Danio rerio: one gene and its partner. The protein of the gene in region 1 purifies or fractionates together with the protein of each later gene. This does not show direct contact. Links are inferred from orthologs where the notes say so. Each region holds a gene or a part of one and is shown in the gene's direction. Other genes may lie near its edges.

Region 1 (4,443 bases):
GCTGTCTTGCTCGCACAAGCTTTTTCAGCTCCGCCCACACATTCTCTATAGGATTGAGATCAGGGCTTTGTGATGGCCACTGCAAAACATTCACTCTGTTGTCCTTAAAGCACATGTTAACTCATTTGGCAGTGTGCTTAGGGTCATGGTCTGTCTGGAAGAGCCATTTGTGGCTGAGTTGTAATGTCCTGGCTGATGTGTTGAGATGTTGCTTCAGTATTTCTCCATGATGTTCTGTCTTCATGATGCCATCTATGCTGTGAAGTGGACCAGTCCCTCCTGCAGCAGAACAGCCCCACAACATGATGCTGCCGCCCCCATACTGCACAGTTGGGATGGTGTTCTAGGCTTGTGTGTTTCCCCTTTGTCCTCCAGATGTAACACTGCTCATTATGGCCAAACAGTTCAATCTTAGCTCCATCAGAGCACAGGACATGTCTCCACACATTAGTCTGTTCCCAGTGTCATTCAGCTAATGGAAATCTGGCTTTGTTGTTGATTGTGGCTTGTTGATTTTCTCATGTTGTCACAGAAGGAAGCAGTGTGTTTGAGCTTTTCCTTCAACACTATTCTACAGTTGTGCCTCACATTAACTCAAATGTTGTCAATTAGCCAATCAGAAACTTCCAAAACCCTGACATCATCATCTGAGCTTTTCCAGAGGCAGAATAATCTGATTGTGTGTAAACTTGACTTTCAACAAGAGTTAGAACAATTCCTCAACATATATCTCTAATTATTCTGCTATCAAGCAGAACAGAAACACATGTGATCATCCTCACTTACCTAAAAGAGAAAAAGTTTAGTCACATTAACATCTGACTTTTTTTAAATGGTCATTTGCCCTTTTATACAGTGTATGTAAACTTCTGCTTTCAGCTATATATTTAAAACTATAACATTTCTACAAATAAATCAATAAATAAACATCAACTCAACTCATTTTGCCATTTAAAATACTGCATTAACAAATACTCGTTAGTGTGCTAACAAGAATATTGCAATTTATACAGCCTGTACAGATTATTTAATACAGCACAAATACAGATTATTTATTAAAATATTTAAAAAGTGTAAGAATTACAAAATTCACTCTTACTGTATTTGCCACTTTTATATAATAATAATATAATAATAATAATAATAACATGTAATATATTTAATATTTATTCCTCGTATGCAAGTATTTAGCCTGACAATAACCAGATAATAGACAATAAATCCATAATAAAGGTGTAAATTACCAAGAATTATATAAGAATGCCATTTAGATTCGCCGTAAATCCCCTCTGATGTGCTCCAGCACACCACACATAATAATAATCTTTGATAAACATATTTGGATATTTTTGATTATGGTCATATTCCCAGTACTGGGTTGCAGCTGGAAGGGCATCCGCTACGTTAAACATATTCTGGATGAGTTGGTGGTTCATTCCACAGTGGCGACGCCAGACTTATAAAGGGACTAAGCCGAAAAGAAAATAAATAAATGAATGGATATGATCATCTTCAAGTTGGAACTTTCCTGCGCGCGTTTCCGTCTGGAGGCCTCGAGCGCGTTCACGGATGTGCGCATGCGTACTGCAGCGAGGGGAGGGAGGTAAACAAGATGGCGGCAGCCTTGAAGCAGCAGCAGCTGTGAAGAACAGAAGCGAGAAAACAGAGGAATAAAGAGCGAAAAAGAAGGAGAAGAACGACTGTGTGTCCGTCAGTGAGCCGAGCGGAGGAGGCCAGCGTCAGGTCAGTGTGTGTGCGCGTGTCTCTGTCTGTGTCCGTGTGTGTGTGTATGTGTGCATTAGCCGCCGCTAACCGCCGCCGACAAACACTTTCCTTCCATCGACACAAACACTCATACACACAAACACACACGCATATCTACATGTATACATACGCACACACATCGCGGCTGATCGATGATCCGCAGTTGATGGTCAGGTGATCAGATCAATAATCAATCAATTAATCAATCAGCTCATCTGATCTCCGGTTCTCCTCAGTTCTCGACCGTTTGATAGAGATCTGTGTTTGTGTATTCTGTGTGTGTCGTTGTGTTGTGTTTTCTCTCAGTGTGTGTTCTATTTTCTTGTGTGTAGTTTGTGTTAGTGTGTGTGTGTGAGATTGTAAAATCCTCTTTTGCAGTCTTTTATTGATATCCAGACTCATTAGACTGATCTTCATTCCTGTGTCGCTTCTATATCTCAGTCTAGATCGTATTAAAACATTGAAGAGAACTAAAATAAAGAATAAAGGAGCTGTAATATTTAAAATGGAACTAAAGTTTGTTTAATATTAGCACGTTTGTTCAGTGACTAGTTGTGACACGCTCCCTATATTGTTTACCATGATGCTTTGAATATTGGGTCTGAAATCAGACATAATTATGACCTCAAATCAACATTAGCACTATTTAACTGACTGTCAGCAATCTTGTTTTTCATCAGCTGAAAATGTGATTGTCCTTTTTTAGGATTTGCAAAGAAAACTTTTCTGAGATTATATTATTAAGGAGAAAGTCCAGAAGTGTGAAACTAACTTTCCCCCAGTATATTTAAATGCTGGAACTTATGAAGAGCTCATGCAAAATACAAATGTAATTTTGATCATTATTTTCAATCTCAATCAACAATTTTATATCTCAATGAAAAGCTTATGCAAATATGTTATACAAGCAATGTGTGACTGCTGGAGTCTCGGCTGGGTCAGTTGGTGTTTCTGTGTGGAGTTTGCATGTTCTCCATGTGTTGGAGTGGGTTTGCTCTGGTTTCCCCCACAGTCCAAACACATGCGCTATAGGGGAACTGATCAACTAAATTGGCCGTAGTGTATGAGTTTTTGTGTGTGTGAATGAGTGGGTCTGGGTGTTTCCCAGTACTGGGGTTTTTTACTGGTAATTTAAATTTAATTTGTTTGCACAAGAACAAAATAAGTAAATACAACAAATAAAAGTGCAATCCACACTGTGACAAGCCAAAAACATATTCAAAATGCTGTACAGTTGAAGCTAGAATTATTCGGCCAACCTTGGATTTGGAAATGGAAATATTTCACAAATTATGTTGAACAGATTGAGGAAATGTTCACAGTATGTCTGATAATATTTGTTCTTCTGGAGAAAGTGTGATTTGTTTTATTTCGGCTAGAATAAAAGCAGTTTTTAATTTTTTTAAAAACATTTTAAGGTCAATATTATTAGCCCCTTTAAGCTATTTATTTTGTTTCGAACAAACCGTCATTATACAATGACTTGCCTAATTACCCTAACTTTACCCTAATTACCCTAGTGAAGCCTTTACATGTCACTTTAAGCTGTATAGAAGTGTCTTGAAGAATATCTAGTCTAATATTATTTACTGTCATCATGACAAAGAGAAAATAAATCAGTTATTAGAGATGAGTTATTAACACTATTATGATTAGAAATGTGCTGAAAAAAATCTGCTCTCTGTTAAACAGAAATTAGGTAAAAAATAAAAAGGGGGCGAATAATTCTGAATTCAACTGTATGTGTTTGACTCTTCTAAAGCATAGAAATACCATAGTATGTTTGCAGATATTTAAGAAACATGCTAAATGAGCATGTTTTTCAGAGAAATAATTCAGCAGTCAGTTCTTCTGCTTTGAGAATGTGCTTTCAGTGTCAGAATATCTGTCTTTGCTTTCTCTGTAACTCTGCCCCACAGCCAGTTTTACAAGTTATATTTCAGCACTCCGGGTTGCCAGATGGTGGAAAAGTGTGCATTTCATTCATGAAGGCTGTCAATGTATCTGTGGGGGTCAGTCTTGCTTGCTGTTCCTTTTAAAGCTGCCTATTCTAAAGAAAGCAAAACAACTACAAAGCAAGAAAAAAAAAAAAAAAAAAAAAATATATATATATATATATATATATATATATATATATATATATATATATATATATATATATATATATATATATATATATATATATATATATATATATATATATGGGTGACACGGTGGCTCAGTGGTTAGCACTGTGGCCACACAGCAAGCCCGGCTGGGTCAGTTGGTGTTTCTGTGTGGAGTTTGCATGGTCTCTCCAGGTTGGCGTGGATCTGCTGTGTAAAACATGTGCTGGAATAGTTGGCGGTTCATTCTGCTGTGGCGAGTCCTAATTAATTAGGGACTAGGCATGGGACAATAACCGGTTTTAAGGTTTACCGCGGTTTTAAAAATTCAAGGTATAAAGCCGCTAAAACATTGTGTTATATCAGTCCTAAGGTATTTGTAGGTTTTGTTTTTCATGACTTTTATTGAGTTTTTTTAGGGCAACAGTAGAAAAGTAGCATCCACACCACAAGTTACTGGTCAGTATATGATTCAGTAAGCATCTAAAACACAAATCTCTTTTAAACCAACATCCAGCATGCTGAAGAGCTGAACAGTGCAGCGGCTTAAGCCTAGTTCACACTAGAGGATTTT
Region 2 (4,582 bases), on another chromosome or scaffold:
CTTATCCAGCATATGTTTTACGCAGCAGATGCTCTTTAGCCGCAACCCAACACTGGGAAACACCCACACACTCTTGCAGTCACACCCATACACCACGACCAATTCACCCACAGAACGTATTTGGACTGTGGGGGAAACTGGAGCACCCGAAAAAAAACCCACGCCAACACGGAGAGAACATGTAAACTCCACACAAAAAATGTCAACTGACCCAGCCAAGGCTCGAACCAGCAACCTACTTGCTGTAAGGCTATTGTGCTGTCAACTGTGCCCCCGTGACACCTTTATATTATATTATATTATATTATATTATATTATATTATATTATATTATATTATATTATATTATATTATATTATATTATATTATATTATATTATATTACATATGTGTGGCTATAGTGTATGAGTGTGAACGAGTGTGTTTAGATATTTGCCAGAACTGGGTTGCAGCTGACAGGGCATCAGCTGTGTAAAACATATGCTTGGTAAGTTGGCAGTTCATTCCGCTGTGGCAACTCCTGATGAATGAAGGGACTAAGCCGAAAAAAAATTAATGAATTAATTAATTATATTATAGAGTTACTGCAGGGAAGAGTGAAGGAGGCAGATCTTTATTGATCCTTACTATATATAAAATCTCATCAGGAGGCTGTTGAGCTCAGAGTAATAATAAAATATCTGAAACTAAAAACACGAAGATGTCTGAGAAAGATTTCTTAGAGGTTCAGTTACTAAAGGTTCAGTTTTTATGTTGTCTTTAGAATATTAACTAGGTGTAATTTATTTTATCAATTATTAATTCATCATTATTCAATTAATATTACTACTAATATTATGTCTAAACCCCCCAATGGGTGTGTTGCACCTATTTGTATTGATGAATTTTAGACATTTACAATTAAAATTAATTAAATAAAATTTTGACAAACAAATTGATATAATAAATTAATTTATGTTCACATTTATGTTCACATTAATAATAATAATAAATAAAATGTTGCACACACACACACACACACACACACACACACACACACACACACACACACACATTTGATGCACAAGATTTGATTAACAAGAATTATTTATTAAAATCCCCAGTTAAATTGTATTTTATTAACACCTACCCCATTCCTAAACTCAAGCATCAAAGTGATGGTAAAACACCACGTATTACCCATATTATTCATTAAATTACCCATTAAACTGTATTTTATTAACGTCTACCCCTATCTAACCCTAAACCCAACCAATAAAGTTATGTGAAACAGTAATTATACCAAGTATTACTCATAATATTTATTAAATTACCAATTAAATTGTATTTTATTAATGTCAACACCTACCTAACCCTAAATACAAACATCAAAGTAATGTAAAAACAATAATTATATCAAGCATTATTCATAATATTTATCAAATTACCCATTGAACTGTATTTTATTAATGCCTATCCCCCCTAACCCTAAACTCAATCAATAAAGTTATGTAAAACAGTAATTATACCATTATAATGTAAAAAACTGTCATTATACCAATTATTACTCATAATATTTATTAAATTACCCATTGAATTGTATTTTATTAATGCCCATCTCACAGTTATGTAAAATATTAATTAGTGTCACAAAAATGATGCTATCCGCAGCTGTATCCCACATAGACTTTACCGCCCTCTAGTGTGTTGTTCAGTTGTCGTCGGTTCTCTGTGTTGTGTGGCGCCCTCTGCTGGCCCGCAGGTTTCGCTGTTTAAGTGCGGAGGAAAATGGCGTCCGGCGTGAGGCAGGAGCTCGCACAGCTGATGAACTCTAGTGGCTCTCATAAAGATCTAGCTGGGAAGTATGTGGTTTCAAGTCATTTGCTAATATCGTTACTGTATGTCTTTTGCATTTGGGTGTTATTGTGTGATTTTCTATATAAAGGTCTGTGATACTGCAAATGATATGACTACAGGCTAACATTAGCAAGCGTGTGTAATACTGAGGATCTACCTGTCAACATGCCTACATCAATAACAATCATACAAGTTATAAATAGTAAAAGCTATTAGAATCATTAGCATATTTGTATGCAAATGTCTTTGTGAATTGACTAATATAATTTGAAAACGATAGGAGGAGTACGTTAATGCAAATACAGTTAGCCTACAGAATTTAAGACCCCATTAAATCAAATCGTTTGGTTCAGTAATTTTGGTTTGAGATATTGTATATCCAAACGTAGACCTAAAAGTTGACAATATAGTTGTCATTTGACAATGACATTTGAAAAAAAACCGTTTGTTTTTTAAAACCAAAATACTGATGACTCATCTTGCATTTAGGGGCGTGTCTACGTTTTTGTCCAATCAAATTTTATAGGATGAACAAGCCTTACCCTCAGCATTATTAAAATGTGTGTCTGAATATGTAGACTTTTATATTAGGCGAAAAGAAAAAGTTGAATAGACAGTAATAGTTCATTGTATTTAAAAAAAAACAGTAGGGGAGAGCAGGAATAAAAGAAACGTGGGACAAAAGTAACAAAGTGATTTTCTCGAAGCCCTGAAAACATTTGATTTACAGGCTATAACAACACATTTAGCAGCATGCAACCCTTAATGAAACTGCTAAATATACAATTTTGGGGCCGTGTCCTGCAATGAGCTCTAAATTTCTGTTTGAAAGTGCAAAATGTAAATTATTGTAGTGGTTTGTTGTATTTCTCTTTTCATGCATCACCGTAATGATCAATCTGCAGGTTCTTTAGTGCAATAACAATTCCTTGATTTTGAAATGTCTGAGTTTTGCAGTTTAAAAGGTAAATTAGGTTTACTGTAGGGATGAAAGTAACACTGTTATTTATGTCCCTCTGCACTTTTTCACTTCCATATTAGTTTTCAGTGTTTTGACTCTTGACTGTTTTATAAGATTAATGCAGATTGCCAATAATAATAATAAAATATTCAAAAATTTTAAGAAAATATAACATTTTGCATTGTTTGATTGCTTTTGAAACATTTTATGGAAGTAAAATTAAAAATTAAGGTGCAGTTTAATATTTTTTTTGCAAAAATAAAGGACAAAATATGCCTGCAGTTAACATTAACAAGGTCAAAGTCAGATACAGTGGTGGAATGAGTACTGAAAAATCAAAAGTACATATTTTTTAAATTACTTGGTAAATTACAATTTCTGAGAAAAGTTACTCACAGTAATTTGAGTATTGGTGATTTGTTACTTTACACCACTGGTCAGATATATTTAAAATAAACACGATTAAGCCGGTAAATCTAGCAAATATTGTTGTGTTACTTTTGACTCACCTGTGAGTTTTTTTTCGTTCCTGTCAAAAGTAGCTGTGCAACTTTTGTGTAAAGTGACGTTATATTGGTGTTGTTCTACATTATACAAAATAACACCTGATTTTGATTGATCACTCTTATGAGTTGGTAACCTCAGCAAAATATATATTTCCGCTAAAAACATTATCTTTTTAGAGTTAGGTTTATATGCAAAATGTTACTTTCATCCCCGCTGTCCCCTATGCAAAAAGGACCAGAATAACATGCTTTGTATGCTGAGATTCTGAGGTGTGTGTCGAATCAAAACTTTTCTGTCTCACTAGGCCACAGGAGAGGATTTGTGAATAGTAGTGGAGCGACACAAGTCACACAGCCCATATGAAATTGATCATGACTATATTATAGTAAAAGTGTATTAAGCATTTTTTTGGTACACTGATGATTAGCATTTGTATAAACAAGACTTAACCACAAATAAACACCAGGAATAGATTTAAATTGGTGTCAAAATCCATAGTTGATTTGTGGTTACTGTGGTTTGCTTAAATAATGATGATTTACATATATTCTGAAGATGAAGTTCAAGTTTAGGTCATATGACCGTGGCAACATTGTGAATGGGGATGTAGAACTGTTGATTGACAGCCACTAAGAATTCACCTTAACAAGCATTTAAAGCTGCATTTGATATATTTATCACTTTATACAGTACAATATAAATCCAGTCATCATTATCATCCAGTAATGTCAACACAAGTATAGTATAATTTTTGTAGCTATAATCTTTGTCCTCCCTGTTTTCACAGATATCGTCAAATATTAGAAAAGGCTCTACAGTTTACTGATGCAGAACAACTTGAAGCACTGAAAGCATTTGTTGAAGCGAGTAAGTATACTAGTATTCAAGTACTAATATTCTGATTATAAACATTCACTTGCCTCTTTACTAATTACACCTTGCTGTTACTGGTTAGACCCATTTTGATTTCAGAACTGCTCGTTCTCATGGCTTAGAATAGTTTTAGCAAGGATCTCATATTATTTCTCAGAATTTTTGGTCCATATTTACAGGACTGTATCACACAGATGATGCTGACTTGCTGCCTGCATGTTCATTATGTAAATCTCTGTTGAGATTTGAAGGTTTTGTTTAATTTACAATAAATGGACTGAAATGCTGAAAACGGAGATGTGGCTATCAACAATCGATCTCTGACTGGTCTTCTACTCTACTGCGTATCATTCCCTATTATATGCCTAATACGCAACTGGTGTACAACAAGAATTAATGCTGGCTAA

Evidence for each region.
Region 2: the proteins of stk11 (region 1) and cops4 purify together in Homo sapiens (affinity purification with mass spectrometry; 4 studies listed by BioGRID and IntAct, with this or other methods). This does not show direct contact. The link is inferred for Danio rerio from reciprocal best matches to the Homo sapiens genes STK11 and COPS4.

Annotation. Positions count from the first base shown.
Region 1 is NC_133177.1:63,068,265-63,072,707, forward strand, and holds the start of stk11 (serine/threonine-protein kinase STK11), read left to right. Parts: upstream 1-1,588; 5' UTR 1,589-1,747; intron 1,748-4,443. UniProt on the Homo sapiens protein: Tumor suppressor serine/threonine-protein kinase that controls the activity of AMP-activated protein kinase (AMPK) family members, thereby playing a role in various processes such as cell metabolism, cell polarity, apoptosis and DNA damage response.
Region 2 is NC_133185.1:12,012,678-12,017,259, forward strand, and holds the start of cops4 (COP9 signalosome complex subunit 4), read left to right. Parts: upstream 1-1,697; 5' UTR 1,698-1,765; coding exon 1,766-1,839; exon of another isoform or gene 1,840-3,816; intron 3,817-4,059; exon of another isoform or gene 4,060-4,089; coding exon 4,090-4,169; intron 4,170-4,582. UniProt on the Homo sapiens protein: Component of the COP9 signalosome complex (CSN), a complex involved in various cellular and developmental processes.